Notamacropus eugenii: one gene and its partners. The protein of the gene in region 2 interacts with the protein of the main gene of each other region in a biochemical or structural test. Links are inferred from orthologs where the notes say so. Each region holds a gene or a part of one and is shown on either strand. Other genes may lie near its edges. The genes, in order: SREBF1, GSK3B, MUC1 and NFE2L2.

Region 1 (7,441 bases), on a different chromosome or scaffold from region 2:
GAATAATATTACCAGATCCCTTTTTTCCTACCTAAATCTCCCCTCTCAAAAAAAAAAAAAAAAGGAAAACATAATCCTTGTAACAAATAAGCATGTGACTACATATTTTCAAAAATATGTTCCACATTCCCTTGTCTGAAAGGCTACATAACCTGTTTTTTCAATAAGCTTGAGAGAGGCAATTTGTCTTTAAGAACAAGCACAGGTTCTGCTCATTTCACTTTGTATCAATTCATGTAAATCTTCCCAGATTTTCTGAAAGCATCTTGCTCTTCATTTTTTTTTTCTTTTTTGCAAGGCAATCAGGGTTAAGTGACTTGTTCAGGGTCACACTGCTAGTAAGTATCCAGTGTCTGAGGTCAAATTTGAACTCAGGTCTTCCCGACTCCAGGGAAAGTGCTCTAACCACTGTACTACCTAGCTGCCCTTCATCATTTCTTATAGCACAATAGTATTCCATCACAAAGACAGCTACCTGGCAAAATGGATACAACCATGGACCTGGAATCAGGAAGACCTGAATTCAAATCTGACCTTATACACTTAATAGCTGGGTGACTGGGGGCAAGTTCATTTAATGTTGTTTGCCCCAGTTTCCTCAGCTGTAAAATAAGTTGGAAAAGGAAATGGCAAACCACTCTGGTATCTTTGTTAAGAAAACCCCATATAAGGTCATGGAGAGTTGGACAAAGATGAAAAGACTGAATAACCACAAATTCTATCACAATCATATACCACAACTTGTTCAGTCATTCCCCAACTGTGAATGACAGCTATTCTCAGGAATACAATGGTCCCAAACAATTCTGAAGGCCTTATGATGTAAAATACTACCTGCCTCCAGGTAAGGATGGTGTATGAATGCAGATAGAAACATACTTTTTTTGGCTTTCTTTGTTATTCTTGTTTTTTTGATCTGTGTATCTTTGTTTTGCAAGACTACACATTTATAATCTATATCAAATCACAATTTGAAACTCAAAATTAAAAAAAATGTTGAAAATTTTTACTTAGATATAATTGAGAAAAAAATAAATTTAAATTAAATTTAAAATTCAAATAATTTTTTAAAAAGATAAGCACAGGGACTGAAATGTGAATGTCAGTAGACCTAGCTTCTATACTGACTTCCTGAAACTTTCCATGCTTTGGTTCCCTTGTCAAATAAATGGAAATAATATTCAATATCTCTCGCAGAAGGTTGCAGTGAGGACAAGGGACATGTTGGATGAAGGTGCTTTGAAACAATAAATGTTACGTATTACTGTATAGGAATCTGTGAACCAGATGGGAGCTCGGGCTGCCATTGATATATACCTCCTTTCTTTGGCCCAACAGGGATGAAAAATGCAATGTGTACTTATAACTGCTTGTCAGATGAAAACCAGATTATGTATAATGCCTTTCAACTCCTTCAGATCTACCCTTTCCCCAGACTGGGAGTGACGTGAGAAGAGCCCACCCATTTCAAGCTTTTCAATTAAATCACTCAAGATTTTTTTCCTACAGGGTTGAAGCCATCCAGACAAATGCTTCAGGACTTTTGGCCCACTAACTATTGATTATTAGCCCCGCTCTGGGTCCTGAAAGAAGGGAGGCTAGAACTTGTTTACATTTACCACAATCCAAATATCAACTAAGTATTTACTAGGTGACTGTATTCAGTACATCCTAGACTGATAGAAATGAAATGGTGACAAAAATGAAATAAAAGATAAAATCTGTCCCTCAAGAAACTTGCCAATTAGTTAAGAAGACATGCCCAGTAAAATGATACCTTATTAATACTTGAAAAGATCTATGATTTCTTTTGCATGAAACACAGACTCCACTAAGCCAGAGGCAGATGTTGGAATCCCTCTACACCTTTCATTAGATTTTGTGAGGAAAGAAACCTTCACTTGGTGGCCAGTCTTCTGTTGTGGACCCTCTCCAGATTTAACTAGGCTGGTCTTCCGGAGGCAGGCACGCAGTCTTTGGATCCCCCATCAACAAGGCCTACTTTGATAGTAGCTTGTCTGTTCCTCTGTGGTACCTAGAACCCAGAATCACTGACACACCAGGATGAGGCATTAAAATGAGACTTTACTGTAAGAATAAAACAATAAAAAGGTGAAGATGAACACAAGTGCAAAGTTTTATCCAAATCTGATAAAAAATCAAATGTTAACCTGTATCATAGAAGGAACCAATGCCAATCATTAAACATTTATGCCATGTGCCAGGAATTGTGCTAATCTATGGGAATACAAAAAAGCAGTAAAAGATAATCTCTGACCTCAAAGAACTTGCAGAATAATGTGGGAGGCAATATACAAACAAATATCTACAAAACCAGCTTTATCCAGGATAAGCAGGAAATAATTAACAGAAAGAAGGCACTAGAATTAAAAGGCAGTGGAGAGGGCTTCCAGTAAAACATAGGATTTTAGTTGGGACGTAAAGAAAGTCAAGGAGGTTAGTAGGTGGAATGGAGGAGGGAGAGGGTTCTAGGGCCTGGGCATCAACTATAGACGCAGCTGAGATAAAGATTTCACCCACTCCTTATTTTTTTTCTTTTTCTGAGACTATGTCTCCCTATCTGTCACCTAGGCTTCTGACCTGCAGGGAACCCTGGCCCAACCTTCTGCTGGACCCTCTTTAGGCAGCCTGATGCCACCCACCCTTCCTCTGGATTTAACCATATATGTTAGACACATTTTCTAATAGGCCTTAGACTCTACAGCAGCTCAGAACTCCCAAACCCAACTGATCCTTCAGTCGCAGCCTTCCCAGTGGTAGAGGATAGAGGCATGAACCTCCAAACCTGATCAACTTAGTTTTACAGATTAAGCACCTGAGGCCTGGAGTGAAGTGACTTGCCTAAAGTCAGACTGGTAGCAATTCTATTTCAAGCCCAGGCTCTGGGACTCCAATTCCTCTAAGACCAGAACCTAGTCATCCACCCCACCTCTTCTCCTGGCCTCCCCATCTGTGGTCACTTCCCTCCCTGGGTCTCACTTTACTCATGGAGAGGTTGGATTAGAGCAGGTTTTTTTTTTTGGTTTTTTGGCATTCTTAAAATTACTGAGGACCCCAAAGAACTTTTGTTTATGTGATTTATATCTTTTGATAGTTGCTGTACCAGAAATTAAAACTGAGAAAATCTAAATGTTTATTAATTAAAATAACAGGCCTATTACATGTTAACACAAATCACATTTGTTTTATGAAAAATAACTATATTTTTGAAAACAAAAATATTCCGTGAGAAGACTGGCATTATTTTACATATTTTTGCATATCTCTTTAAATTCTGGTTTAAATAGAAGACAGCTGGATTCTGATCTCCGCCTTGGCATGAATGAAGCATGTTGGTTTGTTCTTCACATATGAAGAAAATCTGGCCTCACACAGATAAGTAGCTGGAAAAGGCAAGTACATTGTAATAGACAAATAACTATGATTATGAAAATGGCTTTGAACTGGGGACTCCCAGGTAACTGTCTTCAGACCACACTTTGATAACCACTGGATCAGACCCCAAGTTAAAAGTAGGAACTGGCAGTGAAGGTGGGGCAGGAATATGGACAGAGTCTTGATCTGCCAGTCTGGATGGCATCAGCTCGGTTCCTTTCAACCAGGCTCCAGGTGACCTGCTCCACCTGGATTGGTATGGGGAAAGCTGGCTGATCTGGTCCCTGATTCAAAAGAGAATTTTTACGTCTGAGGACAGGCTAAGCGTCCAGGGAAGCTGCAAATACAGGGCGGTCACAGTCAGCCTGGCATCTCCATAAATTCGGGGACCGAGGGGTCTGTGCGCCAGGGCTTCCCTGAGGGGGAGGGTGCCAACCAGGCGAGCTGTCCCCCCGCGTCGGGGGCCCCCTCAAATCCTCCAGCAGACTTCGGCCTCGAACCCTGCGGAGTGGCTCCGCACTTGGCAGAGCTAGGTGCGCCCTATACCTGGTCGCTGCCCAGAGAGCCCCTCACCCCACGCTCCCCCCAGGTCCAGCCTCCCGGCTCCACGTGGTCCCCAGCAGCGGACTGGCGCTGCCCAGGCCTTAGGTAGCCCCGTTCCTCGGCTCCTTCCTCCGCTTCGGAGCGTCCCTAGAGGCTCCGAGTTCGGGATGGGGCTGTCACTCAAAAACTGAAGGGCGGGGGGGGGGGGGGGGGGGGGGGGGGCAGGATGGGGTGGGGTGGAAACACCCGGCGCCGATGCCCCGCCCCGCGCCCTCTCCCTCCCCTCCCCCTCCACGGGGCAGTTAAGCTACCAACTTTTAGCGGGTATGGCGCCGGGGGCGGGCGGGTGGCGACCCTGGCACTAACTTTGTTTCAGGAACTGGGCGAGGCCACCAGCCGCCGGCGGGCCTGGGCAGAGTTCGGGGCGTGCACGGTTAGTCCTCCGGAAAGCGCGCGGTCCATGGAGCAGAGCTAAGGGGAGGCTCAGGCAAAGGCGCGGTGCGTGGAGAGGAACGCCACCAGCCCGGAGGAGGCGTCTGGGGCCGGCGGGCGGGACGCGGCGGCGGCGGAGCTCCGGGCTCCCTCCGGCCGCCACCATGAACGACCTGTCCTTCGACGAGGCGGCCTTGGATCCCTCCCTGGCCCTGGGCGAGGCCAGCGACATCGACTCGGCTCTGCTCAGTGACATCGAAGGTGGGTCCCGGGGAGGGGCGCGTGGGAGCCCGGCCGGGAGGGTGGGGGGGGCGGTGATCGGGGCAGCCCTCCGGGATCCTCAGCCTGGCTGGGCTGGCCCCGGGCGTCGAGGGGGAGTGTGTATGCGTGCTTCCGCGCGTGTCTGCGGCTCGGGATTCCGCGTGTGGCTGTGGCGTGTGTCTGAATGTGTTCGTGCCTGTCCGCGGGCACCGAGTCCCAGGATGCGCGCACAGTTGGGGACTCGCCGTCTGGAGGCACCCGGGGAGACCCAGACCCTCCCCCCTCCCCGCCGCGGACCCCTTCCCCAGCAGCTGTCCGGCCCGGGGGGACTCGGTCCTCCCCCTAGAAGCGGCCACGCCTCTTCGGGCCGCGGAGGAGCGAGGGGCTCCCAAATGGTGCGGCCCCCAAGCCCCGCCCCCCCGAGGGCCCAGGAGCTCGTGACGTCAGCGTCAGCCAGAGAGGTTACCCCCGGTCATTCCCTCGGCCCGCCAGAGTTCACTGAGCTCTGCTGGAGCCTGCAGTGGGAGGGGAGGTGGGGGGGAAGGGGGAAGCGGGGGGAGAGGAGGGGGAGAAGGGAGCAGGAGACGGCCCTGCCCTCCGGCGCCCAACAACTCTGCCCTTAGGAAACCACCCAGAAAATATCCCAGAATCTAGCCTGGGGTTTTCTTAGCAAAAGCTAACCCGGGTGCTCTGACCCATCCACGTGGAGCTTCTGATAAGCCTGTGACTGGGAGAAGGAATTGGCCTTGAATTATCCGTTCATGCAGCCCTTTTAAGCTTTGTAAAGCACATTACTTAAACCTTCTTGTTTAAGTGTGTACAACCTGTAGTCGGTTGGTACTACAGGTATTGTGCTAATGGAGAAACTGAGGCCAGTGAGTCACGGTAGTGAGTGTAACAAGTGCGATTCTCAAACTCAGTTCTCCTAACTCCAAGTGCAGGGCTCTTTCTTACTCTGTATCAAAATGCTTGTTTTACAAGGTAGACCGCCTTCTGTGGGCAGTAGGAAATCCATCTTTCTATCAGTCCCTTTTATAGAGAAATCTTGCTCTGAAGGGGGGATATTTACCCCTAGAATCTTTCCTGACAGAAAACTGTACTTTTTCCTTCTCAGGGCCAGAATTATTTTTCATAAATTGAGGGATTGAGGCACTGATTAGTGAAGTAGGAATGGGGTAGATTAGAGTATATTAGTGAGAGATCGCTTTCTTTTCCAGAAGATTCATTCATTCAACAATAAACTTTTTATGTAAGGTCTACTGTTAGATAATAGTGTGTACAGAGCATTCTGCTGATGGGAGTGGGGGCTGCAGGGAAGGGACAGAGAGAGACAGAAAGTTTAGATGAACATTGATAGCTAGCTGCTAGGTCTGGAGTCAGGAGGACCTGAGTTCAAATGTGAACTCAGACAGTTATTAGCTGTGCGATGCTGGGTAACCCTATTTGCCTCAGTTTCTGCAATCTGTAAAGTGGAGCTGGAGAAGGAAATGGCAAACTACTCCAGGATCTTTGCCAAGAAAAGCAATGGGATCATGAATGGTAGGACACACCTGAACTGCAAGGATAGCTAGCAGTTATATGGGCTTTAAGATTTGCAAACCTGTTTACAAATATCACCTCATTTTATCCCCACTATAATCCAGGGAGATAGGTACTATTATCATCATTTTACAAATGAGGAGACTGAGGCAAAAAGGTTTAGTGGCTTGCCCAAGGTTACCTAGATGATAAGTAAGAGACCTTTCTTGACATTGCATGGATCCCAGTGGAACAAAAAGGCTTCCCATTGATTATTCAAATAATAATATCCAATCTTACAATCTAAATAACTTTTCCTGTTCCAGTGTATACTCTGCATAGCTGCCAAATGGATATTCCCAAAACCTAGGTCTGACCATGTCACTGCTGTACTCCTGTAGAGCACCTTATCACCTCCAAGATTAAATAAAAACGTCATGTAAAGGTCTTTTCAATTTGGTACCTTCCTGCCTTTCCAGCATTCTTCACATTACTCCCCTCCACAAACTGTATTTTCCAGCTTCCTCACACATGACACTGTATCCACCACCCGGTGCCTGGAAAGCCCTCCCTCCTCCCCTTCAGTTCTTAGCATTACTGTCTTCCATTAGGTCTTGGCTCAGATCATGTCATCTCAGCCTCTAGAGCTGTTCCCTCTAATCCCTCATGGACTCTATGTAGCATGTCTTTCCACATTTATGTATGTATCATTACCCTCGTTCAAATGTAACCTCCTTAAGGACAAAGACTGTTTTTGCCTTCTCTTTGTATCTCTGGATAATATTTGTAAAGCACTTAACCACAGTGCCTGGCACATTGTAACAGGTAAATACAATCTTGTGTATTGCTGGACTGATTGATGAGGGTGAAAGAAAAGTGTAGATGAAGTACTATTAGACCTCAAAGTACAGTCAAGGTGTCACTTTCATTTGGGCATGAAGAGTTGAGTTGAACTTTAAAGAAAGAGAGGAATTAAGTGGACAGTTTGGGGTTGGAAAAAAACTCCCACCCATGCATGGAGACTACCTTGAACAAAGGAGATTGAGGTCAAGGAGGAAGGAAATCAGCATTTATTAAGTGCCCATTAACTAATTAATTAATGTGCCTAGCATTGTGCTAAGTACTTTACAAATAGCATCTGCATATAACGTAATGTATATAATATATGTTTGCATATGATATAAATAATGCTCATTTAATGCTCACTACCATCCTGGGGAGTTAGATGAGGAAGCTGGAGGCAGGTAGAGTGACTTGCCCAGGGTCACACAGCTAGTGTCTGAGGCTGGAT
Region 2 (8,363 bases):
TACTTATGAGGTAGCATGGTGTAGTAGACAGGATATTGTTTCTGGAGTCACAAGACACGAGATGGAATTCTTGTTCTACCACTTATTTACCACCTGTATAACTTTGGGCAAGCCATTTAATGACAATGGGCCTATTTCTTCATCTGTTATATGGAAGAATGTGACTAAGGTCCCTCTCAGCTATAAATGTATGACTCTAATATGGAGTGCTACATTGAGGACAGGAATCAATCATGTCTGACTCTGTGACCCCACTTGGGGTTTTCTTGGCAAAGATACTGGACTGGTATAGGTATATTAATCAAAGTCACCTTCTATGGAGACATTGTAAGGATAATTATAGAGGTGCAAGTTTCCAGCCTTTGGATGGAATTATTTTAAGAGCTAGCTCTTTTTAGTGTTTACATACATATTTACCTTTGAAAGGCCCTGAACTGAACAACGAATAGGAGAAAGAGAACAGAGTTGTATTTGAGAAACTGAATTCCAAGTTGTTCCAATACAAAAAAAAAACCAAAACAAACCCTATCTTTTCAACGCCAATATTTCTCTAGCAATACTATTTGGCTGGAATTTTTTTTCTGAAGAATCAAAATTGTGGGTGATCCAGAGAGCAAATGATATATGCATGTGAGGTATAATCTAATACCTCCAGTGGGCTGTATACAAAAAAACATATTTTATACATAAAATATAAAACTCCCCCAAAAGTAGAATTGGATGAGGTGGGCAAGAGAGAGGTATGACAGAAAGCTCATGTGCTGTACTGATATCCAAAGGTTGTCACATGTCCTGTCACCTCTAGCACAATGAAAAGATTCTCACTGTGGGGTTTGCAAGTGGTCATGGATAAGAACTGCAGACCAGAAAGCACAGATGGGTTGCGATCTCCAAGGCTGGAAGCAGTACCCTTATTGTATTAAAGTATATTACTCAGTGCTAATCTTTGAGTGCCATGTCCCCAGAGAACACACCTGCTTATCAATTGCTATTTCCCTATAATACTTTGAGAGAACTATCCCTCTCCTCTCTCAAACTCTGGACAACTCTGACATACCCTTCATGCAATGTGCATTTAGGGGTGGTGGAGGACATTGATCTCTGACAATGAGGAGAGAGTCCCATACCAATGAACTTTGGGACTTGGATTATATACGCACATGAGAATTAAGTAAGGCACAGCGTATTTAAGATTTTTATAGTGTTCTCAATCCTCTCTTTGGCTTTTCTACATTTTTAATAGCATCACTTCCTAATCTCCACTTTTAGTGGGGAACAGAAAGGCCTTCCTAGAAACTCAGCCTAACATCTCCCGCTATTCCGTGTCTCTATTTGAGACCAACCACTGAATAACTTTGGAATCTCAGGTTCAACTATTTAGCACTTCCAATTCTGCTCATTAACTGCATAGCTGATCCTGCGCTTCTTCAATCCTCAATCGACAGGTTTGGCTGTTTAACATGGAACACAGTTTTATTTGTGTAAATTCTTCTATCAGAAATTCTGAAGACAGATTAAGCCCTTGTAACTATTACATACAACTTTGCCTACACTCTTTTTTTGAGGGAGTACATCAGGAGAAGAGAAATTTGGGTTACCAGACTCCTCGGAAATATGTTACAAATTCAAGTTCAGGTAACATTCAAACATCTATTATGGAGATAATCTGTATTTAATTTCTAACAAAATGTGTTAAATTTACACAGAAAAGTAGAACACGAGGTTTCAGGAAGAAAACTGAATTTGCAATCTGAGAACCTCTGTTCGGATCCCAGGCTCTTAGCCTGCTGTATACTGGACTTTTCTTACACGTTAAGGGGTAGGGGGCAGAATGGAGAGGGCGCTTGACGTTCTTTCCCCTAAAGGCCCCTTTGAGCTTTGAAGCCTATCATTTGTGGAAGTTACACTTTTGGGTTTCAGGAGGTGTGTCCTTCACATGCCTAGAGTTTCTCCGTCCTCACAAATCCTCAGTCCCGAAGAGCCTCTCAGAGATACGTGAGCCAAGCATCCAGCTCAGGTAAAAGCCCCCTTCTACCCATTACCGTCACTCCTTCTCCCCAACCCATCCCAGACTCCCCACTGACTTTTCCATCTACTTACACCCATTAAACCACACGCTCTCTAAGTGCACGTTTCCATACGCACTTACGAGGGCAGGGGCACTTCAGTTCTTGTATGAACTGCTTTTTATATCAGGATGATACAACCTGAGTTATAATACTAGGAATCTGAGCAGCTGCCTGTAACACAGACAATGGTCTCTCCGCCGGGGTTTCAGGTGCCCTCTAGGGGGAACCCAATTGTTGAATTTACAGATACGCAGACATGTATAAAACTGCACAGTTCCATCCACACCGATACATACACAGCAGCGTACCAGTCAGCTTAACACACAAACAAGCAGACGGTCGGAGCAGGCCAAAAGATGCTTGGAGTGGGAGAGAAAGTGCCCATTACGGCGCGAGGGGTTTGGTCCTCTTACAATCACAACATACCACACGCAAGAAACAAACCATCAAAAATAACCTGCCCTCACACACTACCCTTTGATCTGAAGCTCCCAAGCCAACTACAGCTATAATTATCCCGGCTGCACCCAGGGCCCAAGGATATCCGGCACGACTCCGGCCCCTTCACGTGTTTGGGAGCCACTCACGGAACTGCAGCTATTTGTGATCACCCTGGGAGCGCACCGAGCTGCGGTGATCTCATTTCTCCCGGGTGTTTTCCGGGGCAGAGACCCTGAGCCCGAGCACAGCGCCCACAAGAACCTAAGACTAAAGGGGCAGAGGAGGGCCGAAGCGTCCAGGACAGCTCCCCGCGCCGCGCAGGGCAAGGAGTTACGCTCCTCGGGCCGTAAGGGTGCTGCGAGGCCGAGCGCCGCCCCCAGCTGTGCGGCAGGAGAGGGCGGGGTCACCCGTGCCCAGGCACGAAGAACTTCTGGGCCTTCGGAGTTACAAGTACGGAACATGAATTTCTCACTCCCCCTCCCCCGCACGCACACGCACACGCACGCACGCGCCTGCGCAGGCAGGGATCCAGGATTTAGGCCCAGAGGCAACTGGGCCCCCAGGCTGTTGAGACCTATGCGCCACTGGTCCCAACCATTACGTCGCGAATGCGTGAGTCTGCTCCACCCCTCAATATCTGCGGCTTTCAAACAGCCAAGGCAGAATTCACCCAACCCCGATCGTCCACCCAGGGGAGGTTCCGCCACGACCACAATCTAGCTCATTCCCCTCTGCCCAAGCCAGGGGACCAATCAGACTCAGCCAAAGTCTTGCGATAGGCCCAAGGCAGGTTCGGATTGGCCAACCTCAAGGAGTTCAGCCTCCCTCCCCTTCCCCTCTCCCCTCTCCAGCGCACAGCGGCCGTTGTCCAATAAGAAAGAGCATTATAGGTCTTTGCCCTCCCTCCTTCCCACCCCGCCTCGGTGAGACATGGGACGATTCGGGCTTGCTGGGATGTCCTCGGAAGCCCCCTTCCCTCAGCCAATCACTGAGTGATGTGGTTCAACCTCCCAGCGGAGTTTTTCAACCAATGACAAAGCGGCCGAGGCGCAGGGTCGCACACCTTCCTGGGGCTTTTAACCACGCTGGGCCTCTCCGCACTTTTCAGCGAGAGCAGGCGACTGGGAAGCCTTTGATTGGCCCTTTCTGCCTTTGACGAATTTCAGCCATTGCCTGTGACCTAACCAGGAAGCTTGGCTTTCCAACTCCTTCCTCCTCCTTCTCCTCCTCTTCCTCCGTCGGCAGTCTTCGGCTCCTTCCGTTGCCTCGGGGCGTGGGGGGTTGGGAAGGGAGGGTTGTTCAGCGGCCGCTTCCGATTGGCTCCTGCCGCCCCTCGGCTATTTCCGGAGGGAGCAGCGAACAGACGACGCTCTCTGATTGGCTGAGGTTGGCGTTCGGCCGAAGCGGGAGGGCGGTGTGCGAGGCTCAGACTTCGGCCGGCGATTCCCAGACGCCTGTTACGCGGGCGGTGGGGGCTCTGGGTAGTGTTGGACTGGGCTGGGCTAGGGAGGAGGAAGGCGGAGGAGGCGGAGGAGGCGGAGGTGAGAGGGGGGAGGAGGAGGAGCAGGCGAGGGGAGGGGGAGCTAGGCGGCTGCGCAGTAGGTGCTTCTCATACAGAGCAGCCCCCGACCCTGGTGAATGCGGGCAGGAGCCGCTGCTGCCCGGACCGAGTGACAAAGGAAGGAAGGAAGGAAGGAAGCAAGGAGGAGCCGGGGGCCCCCCTAAGCCGCTGTCAGGGCGCCGGGCTGGGGCCAAAGCGCGGACATTTCCCGAGTGGGCAGCGAGCGGACCTAGGGGGCGGGAGGGCAGCGACGGTGCCTTGGCCGGGGGAGGGGGCCCTCAAGGGACGGAAGCGGTTGCCGGGTTCCCATGTCCCCGGCGTATGGGGAGCAGCACAGGAGCCGCTGCTTGGGGTCTGAAGGGAGCTGCCGCCGCCGCCATGGCCGCTGGATCCAGCCACCGCCTGCAGCTGCCCCTGGCGCAATGAGGAGAGGAGCTGCCGCCGCCGCCCCCCGCCGCCTCTGACCGACTCCCCAGATCCGCCGCCTTCGAGCTCTCCGGGCCGGGCCGTGCCGTGCCGCGCTCGGCCGCGCCGACCGAGCGCTCCCTCCGCCCGTCGGCCGGATCCCGCCGCCGGATCCGCAGCATTTCCAGTCGCATCACCGAGCCACCCTCCCTGCCTCCCTCCTTCCTTCCCCCTTCCCATCCCCCTTTCTCTTCAAGCAAGAGACTCGTGATCCCTCCGCCGCTTCCCTTCTTCATTGACTCAAAAAAAAAAGATCCCCGAGGAGGAAAAAAAATAATATTCAAAGTACTGAAATTCCAATCAAGTAATTTCTCCCCTCCTCTTCCCTCCCCCCTCCATTTTAACAGATATTTTTCAGGTTTTTCTCCCTTCCCCCTCCGAAGGTGAGGGGGGAGAAGAATTGTGTTTTTTTCCCCAGCCCCAAATCATCTAGATACAAAAATCCATATCTCATCTGTCTTGGAGGAGGATACAAATCGATCGTTTGGTTTTATATAGCTACGTAAAAGAAGTGAAAGCCAAGAAGAAGAAAACATTTTTTTTTTTTTTGGTTTGTGTGTGTGAGCTTAATGCTGCATTTGTCATTAACTTACACCCCAAAATAAAACAAAAGGAAGAAAAGGAGGAAGAAGGTGATCGGGAGAAGAGAGATCATGTCAGGGCGGCCCAGAACCACCTCCTTTGCAGAGAGCTGCAAACCAGTGCAGCAGCCTTCAGCTTTTGGCAGCATGAAAGTTAGCAGTGAGTATTGATTTTTTTTTTTTTTTACCCCTTTACCCCTTCCCTTTAAAATAAAGACCTGGAAATGCCAGGATTAAAAAAATATAGATTAGAAACCAAAAAAATTCAACGGCCTGTGTAATGGAAAAAGGTGAAAGTAGTCACTATTCAAAGGTGAAGCACCTCCCTGTCTGCTTCCATACCTTCCCCCCATCGTCTCATTAACCTTGAATTGACAGAATGTGATTTTTATTTGGATGTTTTAGTTTGCAAGTTTGTTTTTCCCCCCTATCTAGCATGACTTCGAATATATTTACGAATGGTCTTCCTAAGCAACTGCTTAAAGAATCTATAGGAAATTAGAGAGCTAAGTAATCAATCATCTTTTTAAGTAAGGAAAAACAGAAAAAGATATATTGCTTAAAACAAGGCAATATAAAAGTTGAAGCGTGGATGTCTTTTTTTGAATGAGAAGAGATGTTTAGGAAGCTCAGACCTAAGTATGGTTATCTTGGTTTTATGCTTTTAATAAAGACAAATATTTAACATTTATTTTTTGGATATGTAAAATAATAGCTGGTACTCGGAAGGGTCAGCTTGTGCCATGATGAGGTTTTAAATTTGGAGGTTATTCATTTCTGCCTTAAAAATAATGGGCTTGTGGCACCACACTATACAGCAGCAGTGCTGCATATGTTGTAAGTTGACTAATTGGTTTTAATATGTCATCCTATATCTTTTGGCTGTGACGTTAGAAATTTAATGAGGAGTTATTGAGATCTGTGTTTTAATTAAAAAGTTTCACGTTTCAGTTTGACTTTTGTGATTTAGAATTTTAATGTCAATTTCAGCATGCTAACAGTTACACTTCAGTTGTTGCCAATTAAAACTATCATTTTTATTCATTTGGAGGGGTACTGTTGTAAATGGCTTTATTAAAGTCCTAAATTAAAGTGTAATTTAAAGGACTATTTAAAATGTCTGTATTGTGATTTCTTTTTGTACCTGAAAAAAGCTTTAGCAATTTTATTTTATACATTTACAAATGTTGATGTCACTCTTGGATTGACAGATGCACCAGTTTACTCTGAATTAACTCATATTTTCAGAAACTGTATTTTTCTCTGAAATTTTTTTTTCAATTCATCTGGAGCTTTGAAAAGATCAGACAACTGAGTAAATAAGTCCTTTCTTTCATAGCTTCTGGAGTAGAGATGAATACGTTAAGAATGTACGCAATTTGTTGTCAAACTGTCTTTTTTAATCTATTTCTTTACACCAAAAATTAATAGTTTATTACTGTTATTGCCATATGTCCAACAATTTCAGTTCATCTTCATTTGTGCTTTTTGAAAATGTGTGAGCTTGGAACAGTGTTTATAATATTTAATGTTTAAAATGTTTTTTATCTTATTGAAATGCACTTCTAGAGTTTGACCAATTGTAATCTCTTTATTCCTGAAGTGAGATGCAGCAAGAGAGAGATGAAGTAAGGTTCCATAGAATTTCTTTTTTGTTCTTGAGTCAAAGACTTCCTGGTTAGAAAGAAAAGAAATCTCAATACAGGTTACTTTTCTGAAAAATTGGTTAAATTACTTATCTTTACCAAATGGTATTCAGCCCTTACACTGATATCAGTGTTCAGGGCTATACTGGACCATCTTGACTTTGAACTTCTATTTGATGTATGCCTGCATCAATGTTGATATTAAATAGTGAAGTTAAAGGTAGTGACTGGCAGTTTTTTTATTTTGGAAAGTATAATCAGGCTTTTGTTTTTTTGGTCTTTAGCCAACTAAAATTCTAGGGATGGGGAGAGAAGCAAACTATGCATTACTCTGTGGAAGGGCAAACCATCATAAGTACATTAAGGGTGAGATGAGATGAATATTTAAAATTCTGCTGTAATCTTCAGCTGTGATGAAGCAAGTCTTAAAATAGTGTAGGAATCTCTCCTGAGTTATTGGAATGTGTCTTTTTCATAATAGAAATCTGGAGTAATAGTTCTTTGAGACCCATTAACATTCATTAGTTACAGCTAAGAAAGCAAAGCAATTTTACCTGTCTTCAAACTTTTTTTGTTGGAAGAATTTATTTGCTTTTAAAGTGGCTATATTTGACGTATCTGATGAGAGCAGCATTGCTGAATGATGTGTTTAAATTTTGACTGGTAAATTAGTATTATTTTAATAAATAATATAGTATATTAAATTGAATCTGTAAACTCATCTTTTATGGGCATAGATTGCCATAATAAGTGGAAATTTAATGTCAAATATAATCATGCCTCTGACTTTGAATTTAGGGATATTTTTGAGGAAATAAGGATAATTTAACATTTAATCAGTATTTGCTATGGAGAGTCCTGCACAAATAGGGCTACTTGAGACCATTTTTCTGGGGAAACAAACATAAAATCATCTATTAAAATGGTGTGGGTGATATAATCAAATTGAATGCTTGGGTGCCAAGGGGACTTAACATTAAAGAATGATCAAAGGAAGAGTTAATCCGGGAAAACTGCTTGAAGAAGGTAAATTTCAAGTCAGAATTTGATGGAGGCAGAGTAGTAGATTGGGGTGAGCCATATGTAGCTGACTGTCAAATTACTTAATATCTAAAATAAGAGTAATAGTACTGATACTACTTCATAGGGTTGTTTCAAGGAAAAAAAGCTTTGTATAAATGAAATTACATAGAAATGTTTGCAGTTATTATTGCTGTATGGAAAGAAAGAATGTATTCTAGTTGGGAGAATTAGAGTGATTAAACCACAAAGGAAGGAGTTAGTATGTGACTTAGTAGGCATCAGAGACATTGGCTAAAAAGAGATGAAGGAGGAAAGCCACAGGGAAGGCAGTTGACAAATTCAAATTTATCTCTATTTTTTTTTGATAAGTAAAAGGTAGCTTCTGTGGATTTTATTGAATTGACATGTAGAATGGGGAACATGATGTTTGAAGAAGCTAAATATGACATTTATCTTTAGAATGGATTGGAGTAGAGTGAGACAGAGTTAGGGGGCTACTTGAAGTCAGCTGAAGTGAGAAGTTGGTTATGGTGGCTATAGAAATGGAAAGCAAAGAACAAAATGAAGAAACTGGCAA
Region 3 (8,211 bases), on a different chromosome or scaffold from region 2:
CCTCGGGAGGTGAGGTAAGAAGACTCGGGTAGCCCACAGGCCTCTAGGCCTGGCAATTTTGAGCTCAATATATACCAATATTGTGATGAAATAATTTAAAAAGCTAATGTGATTTGGGACCATGTTAAAAAGGGCATAATTTCCTGAAATAATAAAAAAGGGATAATACCACTGTATTTTGCCACATATATATGTACCTACTATGTGTCAGGCACTATGCTAAACACAGTTTTTCATTTGATCCTTACAAAAACCCTGAGAGGTAGGTGCTATTATGATCCCAATTTTAATGTGGAAGAATTTGAGGCAGAGGTTAAGTCACTCACCTAGGGTAACACAGTAAGTATCTGAAGTTAGATTTGAACTCAGATTTTCTTGACTGAAGAACAGTACTCCACAAACCAGTGGTCCTAACAAGAGAAGACTTGGGTGGGGGTGGGGGTGAGGTCAATGTGCAACTGATTTAAAATCCTTCCTCAATCCAGTTTTCTTTTTTTTCTATTTAAATTTTATTATGAACTAAAAAATGATCAGCATACATATTTCCATGCACAAAGGAGAACAGAAATCAGAGATTGTAAATGAAAAGTAATTTATTGTATATAGTTTGTTCCTTCTAATATACAGGGTGTCCCCCCCAGCTCAAAAGTGCACTAAGACTTTTGGAATACCTTGTATATTAAACGTAAGGTTGGAGTGCCAACATTACCCTGTTTCTCTATGTCCTCCTTTGAGTTGTCCTCTGGTCCCTCAGTGCATTTTTAAAAAAAAATTCCTTGAAGTTCTTTTCTTTCCTCTTTTTCCTGTGGGTACCCTGTGCATGCTCCCAGGACTGGGTCCTCATTAGCCTATCCCTCATGACAGCTGTAATGTTCCTATAGTGCTAGGCACTTTACAAATATTTCATTTAATCCTCACAAAAACACTGGGAGGTAGGTGCTGTTATTATCCCTATTTAATAGTTCAGAAAACTGAGACAGAGGTTAAGGGATGGCCATTTACTTACTAGGATCACATAGCTACTGTGTGTTTGAGGTGGAATTTGAACTCCACCCTTCCTGACTCCAGGCCTTGCATTCAATCCAGTGCACCACCCAGCAGTATTTCAAGTCTTTCAAAGTTATTTTCCTTTACAATGTTGTGGCCAGTGTATACATAGTTCTGTTGCTTCTGCTCACTTCATAGGATCATAGATTTAGACCTGGAAGAGGCCTTAAATATAGGTCCTCCAGTTCAATGCCCTCATTTTAACATATGAGGAAACCAAGGCACAAATAGGTTAAGTAACATGCTTACAGTCATATAGCTGGAAGTGTCTGAGATGGGATTTGAATTCAGATCTTGCTAACAACATGTCCAACAATTCATCCACGGTTCTGTATTGCTTTATTAGTTCATAAAAGTCTTTCTCTGGGTTTCCCTGAATCCATTCTGTCATTTCTTATAGCATAGTAATATTCTATTACATTCATATACCACAATTTGCTTAGCCACTCCCCAATTGATGGACAGTTTCTTTCCAGTTCTTGGCTGTAACAAAAAATATTGCTATAAATATTTTTGCATATATGATTCATTTCCTTTCTTTGATGTCTTTGGGATATTTTCCCAATAGTGGTATTGTGGGTCAAAGAGTATACAGTTTAGTGACTTGGGGGGTATAGTTCCAAGTTGTTTTCCAGAATGGTTGGACCTTTTGACAGCTCCATCAATTAGTATGTCTGCTTGCATTCCTGTAAACAGTCATTTTCCTCATTTACCATCTTTTTTGATCTGATGGGTGTGAAGTGAAATCTGAGTTGTTTTAATTTGCATTTTTCTTATGATTTCAATAATTTTTCCATATGATGGTCGATAGCTTTCATTTCTTTCCTTGAAAACTGCCTGTTTACATACTTTGGCCATTTACTTATTGGGATATATGTAAATATTTAAAGGACTGTCTTGTTCCAGAAAGATTAGACTTGTTAATTGTTGACACCAAGAGAAGAATTAGGAGTCATTCCAATGAAGGGAATGTGTAGAGGAGACAATTCAGGAGAGAGTTCAGGAGAATCTTCCTATCAGTTAGCACTGCCCCAAAGGGGAATGATAGATAGCTTCTTCCCCACCCCCTTCTCCCAGGACGTCTGTATGTGGAGGCTTGGACAGCTACTATTTGTATATGTTATAGAGAAGATTCCTTTAGAACTTTGGTTGGACTTACAGCTGCCAAGAACTTTTCCAGTTCTAAAATTCTGTGATTCTGTGATATGTCAATTTCTGGATAAGAATGGAAGCTCTCTGAGGTCAGGGGCAATCAGCTTTTGTCACTGTATCCCCAGCATCTAGCACAGAGATGCCTGACACGGAGTTGGTCCTTAATAATTGCTTGATGTTTGATTAAGTCTCATCATAACATGCTTGTAAGGAGAATAAGACAAGGGTAGAAGCATCATTCTGGTCCTGCTTCTGCTCCTTACCATCTGTGTGAACAATTCATTTTTCTGAGTCTCAGTTCCTCTAAAATGAAGGGTTTGACTAGATAATAATAGCACTTATCTAGTAGGGTTGTATTAAATGAGAAAAAATTTTTTTAAATGCTTGTCCCCAATTGATAAATGGTCAAAGGATATGAACAGGCAGTTTTCAGAGGAAGAAATTAAGGCTATCTATAGTCATATGAAAAAATGCTCTAAATCACTATTGATTAGAGAGATGCAAATCAAAACAACTCTGAGGTACCACATCACACCTATCAGATTGGTTAACATGAAAAAACAGAAAGATGATAAATGTTGGAGAAGATGTGACAGAGTGAGAACACTAATTCATTGTTGGTGGAGCCGTGAACTGATCCAGCCAATCTGGAGAGCAATTTGGAACTATGTCCAAAGGGCTACAGAAATGTACATACCCTTTGACTCAGCAATATTGCTACTAGGACTGTATCCCAAAGAGATCACAAAAATGGGAAAGGGTCCCACATGTACAAAAATATGTATAGCAGCTCTCTTTGTGGTGGCCAAGAAGTGGAAATCAAGGGGATGCCCATCAACTGGGGAATGGCTGAACAAGTTGTGGTACATGAATGCAATAGAATACTATTGTGCTATAAGAAATGATGAACAGGAAGACTTCAGGGAGGCCTGGAAGGAATCATATGAGCTGATGCTGAGTGAAAGGAGCAGAACCAGGAGAATATGGTACATGGTAACAATCACAGTGAGCCAGGAATTTTTCTGGTAGACTTAGCCCTTCACAGCAATGCAAGGACCTAAAACATTCCCAATGAACTCTTGAGGCAAAATGCCATCCATATCCAGAGAAATAACTATGGAATTGAAACACAAAATGAAGCAGAATATTTCCTCTTGTGTTGTGTTTTGTTTTGTTTGGGTTTTTCTCATGGTTTCTCCCATTCATTTCAATTCTTCCATGCAACATGACTAATGTGAAAATGTATTTAATAAGAATGTATGTGTAGAACCCATATAAGAATGCATGCTGTCTTGGGGAGGGAGGAGGTAGGAAGGGGGAGAAAATCTAAGACTTATGGAAGTGATTGTAGAAAACAAATAAATTAATTTAAAAAATGCTTGCACAATGCCTGGCATATTGTAGGTACTATAGAAATGCTCATTTCCTCCCCTTGCCTTCCCACTAGATAGCTTCTGAGATCTTTCCCTGCTCTAAATTCGGTGTCTTTTCCTTCTTCCTTTACAAGGGAAGAAGCCGAATGCTAAAATAATTCTAGCAATAGTTGACCCTAGTATCACAGTTTATAGGGTTTCCCTGCTAAACCCCCTTACATGCACATTATCTTACTGCTTTTCAAAACAAACCCACAAATTAGGTAACACGAGGATTGTTATGCCCTATTTTATAAAGTAGGAAATCGGCTCTCAAAGATGAAGCGACTTATTCAGGCTCATATAGTTGGGGACTAAGTACGGACCGACATTCGGGGCTCTCCAGCCCCCAAATTCAGAGTCGTTTTGTGTTCCTTGTTACTTCTCCCCTGCCAGGGGCTGCTCTGCCCCACTTCCCTCCTCAGGTGTTTCTCCCCCGAACCGTTCACCTCCCTCTCTAATTCTTGAAGGCTCCTGATGACCACCAGGGGGCAGAATGGTTCTGTTACCTGACAGGATGCGTGCGGAGTTGGAGAATTGGGGTGGAAGGACCCCAAAGATCTTACCCTCTTTTCTTCTTCTTACTTCCTCCTTCCTCCCACTCCTTTATCCCCCTCCCCCCCACCACGCACCCGTGAGAAAACGCGGAAGGCAACCAGGCATACAGAAAACCCCTGGGGCGGGGACTGTCGGGTTTCGGGCCAGATCTACGGGGCAGAACGGACCGGGAGGGGCTGGCATTGGGTGGGGTTGTTTCAGGAAATGGGGTAGCTGTTCTGATATTCAAGTTTCCTTTGTGCTGGGGCTGGGGTCGTGAGAGGGGTCCTACAGGAAGATGTGTCCCAGGAAGTCAGGGACTCCGGGGGCTAGAAGATGATGCGGCGTCCGCAGCCCTAGACCCTCGGGGGAGCCAGGGGTACTGATCTAACACCTCTCAACTCAGTCCATTTTCCCACCCCGGGCACCGCCCCGGGGTCCAGAAAGAAGGTCTGAAGTTCCAGGTGACCTGGCTCCCTTCCGTGTGAAGGGAGGGAGGGGAGATGGGGGTGACGCCAGGTGGAGAACAAACAGGTTGTCAAAGGGTTGAGTGATCTGGAGCCCGCTGTACCCGAGGGGTCAGGAATGTGTGTGGAGGAGAAGGAGGAGAAGTAGAAGGGAGGAGGGATGGAGGGGGGTGGGGTTGTGTCACCTGTCACCTGCTCTGGCTGTCGGAGCCTCGGGCGGAGGACTGGTATAAAGCAGCGGGCTCCTGAGCCCGACACAGCCTTTCGGGCAGAACCTGGCCCTGCCTGCTGAACGCTCCCCTCCGCTGGTTACCACCATGACCCCGGGCATCCAACCCACCCTGGTCCTTGTATTGTTCCTGGTACCTACAGGTGAGGGCAGGGGAAAAAGAGATGGGGAATGGGGTGGCTTGATTTATACCATTTTTAAAATAGCCTCTGGGCTAGTTTTTACTTCCGGCGGAGTTTGCTGAAGGGGGAGGGAATCCTGATGTGAGGGTGAGCTGAAGGGTTCAAAGCTGGGGCCAAAGTGGAGGAAGAAGAAGAGGAAGAAGGAGTTACAGAGACTGGGACTGAGAGGAGACCCTATTGAAAGGACAAAGCTTTGGGCAGTGAGGGATCCTGCTTGATTACCTAGAAGGTTTCCAGGGGGTGAAAGCAGAGGAAAGGTGAGGCAACTATGGAAGTGTGTGTGTGTGTGTGTGTGTGTGTGTGTGTGTGTGTGTGTGTGTGTGTGTGTGTGTGTGTGTGTGTGTGTGTGGTGGGGCAGGGAGCAGGGCAACAATGGAGGAAAACTAGAAGCAGAACATGGAGCCAACGATGAATTCAAGGAAGGTGGAGTGCCTAGTGTCTTTGGGTTTTCTCCAACCACCTACTTCCTAAAATTTCTTTCTTTCTACTTTCTGCCTAAATCTCTCTAGGTCTGTTGCTTCTCCCTGATCAGACTGGGCTCCAGCCTAACTCAGTGTCTCTGACTTCTTATAGCTATTGGCAACAGTACCTTTGGCACAACTACCAGCCCTGACCATGAGGCAGCTACAGCAACAACTCTGGACACAAACCGCAGCAACGGAACTACCGAGAAACACAGGACAACCATTACCCTCAGTGCCACAGCTTCATCTAGCTCACATGGACCCGTAACTGCTGTTGATGAACCTGAAATCAATGGCCACCACAGTACTGGGACCACAGCTCACACAGACAACAGCATATCTACCACATACGCACCTAGTGAGCATCCCACCTCCCCTACACCCCCCAGTAACCACAGCACATCCGCACCCACTGACCATCCCACCTCCACTACACCCCCCAGTAACCACAGCACATCCGCACCCACTGACCATCCCACCTCCACTACACCCCCCAGTAACCACAGCACATCCGCACCCACTGACCATCCCACCTCCACTACCCCCCCCAGTAACCACAGCACATCCGCACCCACTGACCATCCCACCTCCACTGCCCCCCCCAGTAACCACAGCACATCCGCACCCACTGACCATCCCACCTCCACTACACCCCCCACTAACCACAGCACATCCGCACCCACTGACCATCCCACCTCCACTGCCCCCCCCAGTAACCACAGCACATCCGCACCCACTGACCATCCCACCTCCACTGCCCCCCCCAGTAACCACAGCACATCCGCACCCACTGACCATCCCACCTCCACTACACCCCCCACTAACCACAGCACATCCGCACCCACTGACCATCCCACCTCCACTGCCCCCCCCAGTAACCACAGCACATCCGCACCCACTGACCATCCCACCTCCACTACACCCCCCACTAACCACAGCACATTCACACCCACTGACCATCACACCTCCTCTACACCCCCCACTAACCATAGCACATTCACACCCTCTGACCATCACACCTCCACTACACCCACTAGTCACCATAGCACTATAGCTACAAAAAGCACTCCCATCACTGCAGCAACTACTGATAACCCCAAGAATATTTCTTCAACCCTTCACCAAAAAGCCACTCCAACCCCTAACAATAACCACAGCTCCATATCACAACCCATTACTGTCAGCCAAAGCACCTCTCACCTCCCAGTTATCATTTATGAGAGTATGTTTTTCCTCTCATTCCACATCCTCCAAAAGCCTTTTAACTCTTCCCTGGAGAATCCCAGCTCTTTCTACTATCAAAGCTTGAAGGATTCTGTTAATGATCTGGTAGGTACCATCCTCTCCCTATAGGTTGGGAAGACTTCCCCTAACCCCCAGATGGCCATTTATTCCTCTGGCGTTCTGGCTATACTTCTTCCTTCCTCTCTTTTCCCAGTTGCGGCAGGTCTACGAAAACAAGGCATTTCTGACCTTTTACCTGCTCCAGTTCAGGTACCAATCTGCAGATATGGGTGGTATTGGGGGTGGGTAGGTCACCAGCTTAGATATGAGAAGGAGTACCGGTTCCAGGAGGAGGGAAAAGTGGTCTGAAACAGGAACTGGAATGTACAGGACTTAGGTGCCAATTTTCCTGTGCCCAGAATGGGCTCTGTGATTACAGACTGTATCGTGGTCTTCCAAGAGGGCAGCATCACAGCCAATGAAGTACAGACTCTGTTTGCTGAAAATGTGAATAAGAATATGTACAACCTGACTATTTCACCATCAGATATAACTGGTAAGGTTTCTATCCCCCCCCCCCCACTAGTGCCCCCCTCCCCCACCTCACTACCCAGGTACTCTCTGGGAACTTGGAACATTCCCCCAGATAGTCTGCCCCAGAGCCAGGAATTCATATTTCCAGGTTCTATTGCCCCACACTCATGGGTCTCCTTGGACCTAAGTACACAGGCACACACTCCCTTTTTGTGGGAGAAGAGCAGGGGTCTTAAAGAAGATTGGGACAAGGCATCTTGGGAGATTCTTTTACAATCCAACTCTCTTTTCTAGTCCGTGAGTGGAATTCTAAAGCCTCATCTACTGATTCTGCTGTGCCAGGCTATGCCATTGCTTTGCTTGTGATAGTCTGTATCCTGCTTGCTTTGGCAATTTTGCACCTTAGTGCCCTGGTAAGTGCTTTGTCCAGCCCAGATGTTTGGGTCCTCCCCCTGTCTTGGTTCCCTAACCATCAGCCACTGTGCCCTTCTGCCTTCATCTCCACCTCTTCCAGGTGATATCTTATTTCCGCCGGGAACATTGTGGACAACTGGACATCTTCCCATCCCAACATTCTTACCATCCCATGAATGAGTACCCCCCTTATCATACTCATGGACGATATGTGCCCCCAAGCAACACCAAGCACAGTCCCTATGAAGAGGTGAGGCTATGCCTAGTGGGCAGTGGGAAGGCAAGTGTGGCTGGGATCTAAGAAAGGATTAAAGGGACACGGGAAAATATTCAGTGTGGGAGTAGTCATGACAGAGCCCAGACATCATAGTGTACTGAGAGGATCTGAAGGGTTTCAAAGAGACACAGAGGAGAGGGCACTGTGAACACAGGAGCACAGACATTGTTGGATGTAAATAGAGAGCCAGAAGTGTAGTGCTAAGAAAAGGAGCCTGGGAGGCCTGGGGGTGGATGGTACAGGAAGTATGGAAGATGGGAGTTCTGGGAGCC
Region 4 (7,684 bases), about 110 Mb from region 2:
GAAGAATCAGAAAACCTAGATTCTAAACCTTGCCTTTCATGACCCCAGAAAAGTCATTTAATATCTAGCCTTGGTTTCTTCATCTATAAAGATTAAGGGTTTATCATTTCTAAGGTCTATCTATAAATCCTATGCCCCATGCTTTCTTGTTTCTGGGGGGGGGGGGGGGGGGGAGTTTGGCCCAATTTTATTTTTTTTGTAATGTTTGAGATAGCCTCACCTTGATCTACTCTGTTGAAATCTTTCCAGTTTTCCAAGGTCTGGGTCAGATAACATCCTTTCCATGAAGCCTTCCCCTTTCCTGCCAGGAGAAGTCATCTTCCCCTCTTCTGCATCGTCATAATATCAGCTCTGTCATTCCTTTCTTATGATCACTTTCTACTTTGCATTACAGTCACTTGCATATTGGACCAAAATCAGTGCTGACCAAGAGCCAGCTGGTATCAGCATCGAAAGCCAACTGTTAAATTTTCAGTGTGAACATTTACACCCTGGAAATTGGCAAACACTGCAAATCAGAGCTTGTGTTTTATTGATTTTCGAGACGTAAAGTGATGGAGAAAATATTAATAATATAGATTAAACATAAAGTGTGTTCTGTGTGTATTTTTTCAGAGTCGCTTGTTAAACATTTACCAGCACACCTACGAAAAATTCTTTCCAAGTAGTAACTTGTAAGCCCCCAGTGATGTTTTACTTTTTATCAGTCAGCCATCGTTAACAATTAATAACAAAGGTATTTTAATGACAGTATAAATAAATTTAGTTAAATGACAGTGAGATTTTTATATCTGATCCTGGAGGTAATAGGGAATTTATTAAGGGGGGAGATGGGGGGAAACATGGTCAGACCTGTCCTTTAGGAAGATCATTTGGTAGCTGGGATTTAAAGGAAGTCAGAGAAGCCAGGAGGAGAGATGAGGAAGGAAGGCAATCCAGACATGGGGGAAAATGCTCTGAGTTGGGAGATGGAGAATCATGTTTAAGAAATAGCAAAGAGGCCAGTGTCATTGAATCATAAAGTGTAAAAAAATTAGAAAGGTGGGAGGGGCAGGTTATGACAGGCTTGGAATGATAAAGCATTTTATATTTGATTATGAAGGGTTAACTCATGAACCTCACAATGAAGAGCTGCTATCTCCTACTGATATTACTTTACTTCCTCAAAAGGCATGTTTTTCTGATCTAGGTAATGTCAACTGATTATTTTCAGATTCACCTAATAATAATAATAATATATATACATATATATGTGTGTGTATATGTATGTGTACACATACATACATACATGTTGCTTTATGGTTTACAAGGTACTTAATATGTTATTTTATTTGATCCTCACAATAACCTAGAAGTTAGGTTCTATTATTATCACCATTTTACAGATGAGGAAACTGAGGTAGAGGCATCTCAGGCTGGATTTGAACTCAAGTTGTCCCACCCCCAAGTCTAGCACTCTGTCTACTGTGTACCATCTAGCTGTGTACTATCTATTCTGTACAACATCTTCTACGGATACTGTTACAGTTCTTTCACCAACTCTTTTAGTCACCTCTGCCATGGAAGGGTACTATGATTAGTTAGAATTATACTCTCTCCTGAAAAAGATATTCCCTAGCTCCTTCAATCTGATCTATCAGCCTCCTACTCTTTCAGCTTCCTCCTGTGCATAAGTTAGAGGCAGCTGAGCCTGGAGTCAAAAAGTCCTGAGTTCAAATTCAATCTCTGGTGCTCATTAGTTATATGAACTTGAGCAAGTCACTTAATCTCAGTTTCCTCAACTGTAAAATAGGGTTTTGTCATGAAGATCAATGAGACCATTTTTGTAAAGTGATTAGTACAATGCCTGGCAGTAGTAGGTGCTATATAAGTACTATTTTATTTATTATCATTTCTAGCTATAATCTTCAGATTAAGTGCTATCTTCAGAGCCACCTACTCAATTTGGTTCTTCATTTACTGAAGGTGTTGGGATTAGCAATATTCTCCTTAGCAAGAAGGGCTCATTCTTCTTAGTTAACCTTGTTTGCCAATAGCTATGAAGTTTTTTTGTTTGTTTTTGTTTTCAGCTAGGATCCTCAATTAGTTAGGATACTTTCTTCTTTTTACTCAGACTGCCACAGAAGGGACAAGGGGTCAGACAGAAGCTTGCCTTCAAACTCTTTTAAGCAATTCCTTTATTCTCTGCACTTTACCTACTCTCTTCTGGCTTTCCTGGAAATCTAAATTCAATTGTTACCTAACATGGTCAGAAACCCATTTCAGTACTAAGGTTGTAAGACCAAGGTAAATCTCCCCAGGGGGAAACACTTTGATGAGGATCAGATCATTTTACCCAATCAGCTCTTCTGTTTTATGTAAAGTAGAAATGGCTGAATTGGCTAGTGAAATCTAAAAGACCGTTGACTCTAGTCTTTTCCTACAGAAAAACATTGTAGCCTGACCTCTTTCTCTGGCTGTTTTATACTTGCATGAAGACTTTTTTCTCTCCCTTGCTAGATGATAGGATTTTATTTTTATCTACCACAGTACCTAGAACAGAAACTCTTAGGGTCATAAAATCTTATATCTAGTTCGTTGGCTACTAGCACTTTTTAGTGTGTATAAACTCCTTTTCAATATTAAAAAAAAAAAGTTTCCTGGACCTATGGGTTATTGTTGTACTATTTAGTAACCAATGATTGAAAAATTACATAACAAAAAGTTATTATGAGTTCAGTAATGCTTTTAAGTGAACTTGTGTTTTATTCATCTGAATACTTCTGAAAAATAAGAATCTAAATGAGACATTATTCAGTCTACAAAAACTATGCTTATTATAGAGGAATCATTTAATGAGATAGACCCTTTAAAATAATAGCATCCCACAGGTTGGGAACTACTATATCTCGTCCATCTTTTACACCTTAAACGTTTGTCATACATAAATAAAGCTAGGGATTCTTCATCTGTATGTTACCTAATTTCTAACAATCTTTAAAATAAAAGCTAGAAACCAAAAGCTGAACCTATCAAAGAGATAGAAAGGTTCTTAGATCCAGAGACAATGCTAGGTCACTTAAATTCTCTGGGTCTCAGCTTTCTCATATGGGAAAGATCTAGTTCTTAAAGCCTCTGGGACTCACCTGTTGACAGTGATGCACGCACAAATTCTCTTTTAAAAATCTCCAATACTTTTGAATAACATATTCCAGGGCTTCACATTCCCTTTTCTCCTCTGAGGCTTTTGCCACTTTCGAAGTTAATTTTATTTTTAAGGATTATGCAACAGCTCAGTGCTGCAAGATGAGACATGGGGGGAAAGAGAAGGAGATGGTTTCAGTTTTTGCAAAGCCCAAGCTGAACAGTCAGCTTCCATCTCAAGAGGACTTTTCTAATCGACCTTGGAGCGCTGTCCCTGGCAATGTTTCTAAAGAGCGAAAGTAAACAGGAGGGCATTTGGGCCTTGGCAAACACAGGAGAGGGGACCTAACTCCAAAGTCCCAGAGTGGTTCCAGAACTTCCTACTGATTACACTTTCACTGAATTAACAAGAGTTCCCTGGGAGCAGAGGGTGGGAAAGTGAGGGAAAGGTGGTGCTGACTAGCAGGCAGCTTTTGTCCTGGTGCTCCTTGGCTGGCACCTGACCCTCAAGTAGGTGCGGTAGGTAGAGATAAAACTGAGCTGTGCCCTTCAACCTGGACCTCGGAGCCAGCCTCCCTTAGGCCACCGCGTACTCTTTGCCAGGTCGGTGAGACAGCATCCACTATGTTTCCGAGTGGCAATCTCGTTGGGAGGTAAGGGGAAAAATGGTTTCTTTGGTTTGTTTTAAAGGACACACGTACACTACACTGCTCTAAATTATACGCCCGGAGAAACGGTTTTGTCTTAAAAGGCGCACAAGCACAAAACATACGCACAGGGGGAGTCCACCGTCTCTTGGAGTTGGGACACCCGGGTCCAACTCCTGGTTTTGGAAGTTCCAATCCTTCCTCTTACTACCCTGGGTGACCTTGAGCAAATCACTTAAATTTCCCTGGGCCTCAGTTTCCTCATGACCAAAATGATGAGTCTGGACGAGATGAACTCCAGGCTGCCTTCCAACTCAAAAATCTACGGTTATTACGGTAAGGCCTGTGTTTTGGGGAGGGGTCTCTCCCCGCCCTCCGCCCCCGACGGGGATGGAGAGAGTTAAACACAAAGATTCTCAATACCTCCTTCCCTTCCTCCCCTCCCCCCCAGTGCTCCCACGCCAGCCCCCACCCCATTCCAAACCCGCAGGAAGTCAGCAGCCGCAAGGGTGGGGGATTTTAAGAGGAGGAGCCGGGAGGAAGCGGCCGGCCTCGGTGGGCGTGGCCACGCATTTCTCCGCCCCCAGGGTGGTCGGAGGCGGGGCGTTGCCGGGGCTGTGCCGGGGAGTCCCGGCCCTCGGGTGGAATACAGTGAAGTGCCAGGGAGACTCAAGGAGCCGCTTCCGCGCCACCCCGTCCCTGCCGCTGCGCCTTCCTTCTCCGCACCTTGTCTCGGGAGCTGAGAGAAAGAAGTCCGGCCGGGGAGCCCCAGCGCAGGGGTCGGAAGCTCAACATGATGGACTTGGAGCTGCCCCCGTCGCAACAGGTGCTACTGCCGGCACCTCCGGGACTGGCGAAGGGGGGGAGACGTCACGCACACGAGAGCGGGGCTGGGGGGGAGCGGACGTCACGCCTCCGGGAGCAAGGGGGGGACACGCCTACGGTAACAGGGACGGGGGCGACGTGGGCGACGTGGGCCGACCTCCTTCCCTCTGTCTTCTCTGTACAGTCCACCGGCGAGAGGGGACGGCGGGGAAGGCCGGGGTCGCGGAGGAGTCTAGGATTAAAGGAAAAATAACACCCGACCCCCTCCTCGGGAGAGAATAGAGGTGGGGGAGGAGTTGAGGATGGCGCCCTAGGGGGATCCAGAGGGGAAGTCCCCAGGAAGCCGTGGATGCAGGGCAGGGGAGGGGGGCAGCTTCCCCCCGGCTCTGCCTGTCACGAGCGCGTCGGCGGCCCCGGTGCGCTGGGTCTCCTTTCCTGAGGGAGGAGGAAGAGGAGGTGCGGAGGGGGTGGGGATTCCCAACTCCGGAGGGGAGGGGGACGTGGGTGGGGGGTGCAACAGCTGTTCCCGCCCCCGCTGTCTTCCGGGAGCCCCTCCTCCCCAGGTCGCCGCACTGCGGCTGCGCGGCGATGGGTGAGTTGAGGAGGTGTCTCTGGTCTCTTCCTTGGGCACTGTGGGAGGGGGTGGGGCGAAGCCTGCGCCGCCCCGCCCCTGCACCGCCCCCGCCCCTGCGCCGCCCCGTCCTTGCCCCCCTCCCCGGGGTCTGGTTGTCAGGGGAGGAGAAGCTTCCTAAGCGCCCTCGGGGCCTGCTCTAGCTTCTTTCGTCTCTTCGCACTTCCATTCCTGAGCTGCTCTCTCTGGCCTTGAAGCCTGCGTGCTTAGTCGCCAGGGGGAGGATGAGGTATGGACTGGCCCCCGGACCCTCGAGTGAGCGAGGAGCGCGGGGCGCACGTCTGGCTTGGAAGTCTGGGCTTCCATAGAGATCGATCATCTCTAGCCCTCCCCCGCCCCCACCTCTCCAGTTACTGCATCTCCGAGCCGGGGAAGGGAAAGGCTAGGCTTGTTCCTCATCACGCTTACCCTCCACTAGGGATTTCTAGGGTACTGAGAAAAACCAGTCTTTAAAGGACTCCAGTTAGCTTTGTGCTTCTGCAGTGACCTAGATGGCCCCGACGGACTGAATGAAGCCGTCCAAAAGCTCATAGTGTATCTACCCCTGACGGTGGTCCCCGGGCGGACCGTGGCGGAAGATAGCCAGGCCTGGACCCTGCATCTGATGAAGGCCGCTTGTCGTCCGGGAGAGAATGGGGAATTGGGAGTTCAGTTTGTCTTGCCTCCCCCCCTTTTCCTCTCCTACAGAACTCGGGAGTTTTGGAAACGTTCCGTACAACATACAGCACCCCCTCCCCGCTGCGGTAGTCCCGAGTGCGCGCTTCTCCGCGGCCTCCGAACGCGTCCCTGCGGCCTCGGCGGGGGTCAGCTGCCGCCAGTCGCGGCCGCCCTAGAGGGGCCCCTTGTGCTGCCTAGCGTGCCAGCCCGGCCGAGCTCGAGGAGCTCAAGGCCAGGGCGAGTCGGAGCTGGGGAGCTGTTGCGCAATTGTTATTTTCCCCTGGGCTGCTTTGTCTTTGGATGAAGTTTCTCAGATTGTAATTCTAAAATATGTAAAGCAGAATACGCTAAATGTTGTTCTGAGTAGGGCTGCCAGGGCAGATCAGGGTTTGTATTTTTGTGTAAAATGAGGTCTGTGCTTACACATTAAAACTTCGACTCCAAACTACTGCCTAGTTGGCTTTACCTTGAGTCTCTTTTCCCGCCGCCCTTCTCCCGGTCCCCTTCCTGTTAGAGAATTTTTCTTTCTTTTCGTTCTGCCTTTTTTGTAAGGATAGATGACGGGATACTTGTGTTGCACGGTGATCCTTTTGCTAGCAAGTTCTGTAGTCCGAGTTGGAAGAATTTGGAAGTAAGGTCCTTTATCATTTCAAATCATAGCATATTTTAAAAGTGTGACAGACAAGTGAAAAGATTACTTAGGATTTCTCGGCTTTTGTTTGAAGTTTTAAGAAAGATTATTGTTTCAAGGACATTTTTAATTTGAACTTGACCCTCTCAAGGTATTGAATGCTTTCCTCTTTGAAAGCAGTTATCTAATCTTGGCACGACTAAAGAGTTCCCTTTTCACCTTCTCTTTGGATATACATTCAGGACATTATAGGTCCCTATGCAGTTGTATAGTCTTGGACTGCTCCCGAAGAATGATTTTGGTTTTGTGCCCTAATAGCTTACTATTATAAAGATAGCTGTTTTGTTGGATTCAGTTATGACCAGAACTGAGGCTGTGTAGATGCTTCCTTGAACATATACAAAATACTATTGATTCATTTTTGGAAATGGAAAATGTTTTGGAGGATAGCGTTCAAATGTGCCCTAAAATTTCGTGCTTGAGGAAACAAAAGGAAACATGGAGAATGGACTTACAACAAAATGGCAAAATTTTATCACTGAAACATCAGTTTGAAGTCAGTAGAAAAATAAAATGAGGCTTCAGAGCTGATAGCAAAAAAAAAAATTGAATAAAGATATTGAAGTTTTTGTAATATACTTGCTAGGTATCACCAAAGGAATAAGGTTCTTGACCTTGTGGAGACTCTTTATTTTAAATGTGTAATTTATTAAGATCAAGTGAGATAATATTTGTAAAAAGTGTTCAGCACTTACAGTCTGGTACATACGTGTGTATAAAAAAGCACAATAAAAATGCTTATTCCTTTCCCTATTCCACTTACCCTATTGTACCAGAAAATATGCTGTCACCCTCTTTACATAGAAGAAGATATCTAGGAAGAGATCGTTAAGTATATAACTTGAATTCCCCACACCCATCATAAAAACTTTACATTTATTCTCTTGTACATTGTGCTGCAGATGAAAGACGCAGTTACTTTTTTCACTGCAGTGATAAGTGTCAAGTTCAAAAAGAAAAGTGAGAAGGAAAAGTCAGTAGTCTCTCTTGATATAGAGAGCAACTTGACATTTTTGTTTTATGAAACATCTTGAGATATTTTGAAAACACTTTGTAGGAGGACTCATTCAACTCCTCTCAGTCACAACAAAAAAAGTCATGCCTGGTGCA

Evidence for each region.
Region 1: the proteins of GSK3B (region 2) and SREBF1 form a complex in vitro, tested with the Homo sapiens proteins (2 studies listed by BioGRID, with this or other methods). The link is inferred for Notamacropus eugenii from reciprocal best matches to the Homo sapiens genes GSK3B and SREBF1.
Region 3: the proteins of GSK3B (region 2) and MUC1 form a complex in vitro, tested with the Homo sapiens proteins (2 studies listed by BioGRID). The link is inferred for Notamacropus eugenii from reciprocal best matches to the Homo sapiens genes GSK3B and MUC1.
Region 4: of the proteins of GSK3B (region 2) and NFE2L2, one has a biochemical effect on the other in vitro, tested with the Homo sapiens proteins (2 studies listed by BioGRID). The link is inferred for Notamacropus eugenii from reciprocal best matches to the Homo sapiens genes GSK3B and NFE2L2.

Annotation. Positions count from the first base shown.
Region 1 is NC_092874.1:335,022,861-335,030,301, reverse strand, and holds the start of SREBF1 (sterol regulatory element-binding protein 1), read left to right. Parts: upstream 1-4,210; 5' UTR 4,211-4,535; coding exon 4,536-4,632; intron 4,633-7,441.
Region 2 is NC_092876.1:345,957,923-345,966,285, forward strand, and holds the start of GSK3B (glycogen synthase kinase-3 beta), read left to right. Parts: upstream 1-5,151; 5' UTR 5,152-5,189; coding exon 5,190-5,277; intron 5,278-8,363. UniProt on the Homo sapiens protein: Constitutively active protein kinase that acts as a negative regulator in the hormonal control of glucose homeostasis, Wnt signaling and regulation of transcription factors and microtubules, by phosphorylating and inactivating glycogen synthase (GYS1 or GYS2), EIF2B, CTNNB1/beta-catenin, APC, AXIN1, DPYSL2/CRMP2, JUN, NFATC1/NFATC, MAPT/TAU and MACF1.
Region 3 is NC_092873.1:379,283,804-379,292,014, reverse strand, and holds the start of MUC1 (mucin-1), read left to right. Parts: upstream 1-4,818; 5' UTR 4,819-4,932; coding exon 4,933-4,987; intron 4,988-5,599; coding exon 5,600-6,819; intron 6,820-6,928; coding exon 6,929-6,984; intron 6,985-7,133; coding exon 7,134-7,270; intron 7,271-7,542; coding exon 7,543-7,661; intron 7,662-7,762; coding exon 7,763-7,912; intron 7,913-8,211. UniProt on the Homo sapiens protein: The alpha subunit has cell adhesive properties. Can act both as an adhesion and an anti-adhesion protein. May provide a protective layer on epithelial cells against bacterial and enzyme attack.
Region 4 is NC_092876.1:240,169,349-240,177,032, reverse strand, and holds the start of NFE2L2 (nuclear factor erythroid 2-related factor 2), read left to right. Parts: upstream 1-4,318; 5' UTR 4,319-4,563; coding exon 4,564-4,596; intron 4,597-4,746; exon of another isoform or gene 4,747-4,879; intron 4,880-5,302; exon of another isoform or gene 5,303-5,455; intron 5,456-7,684.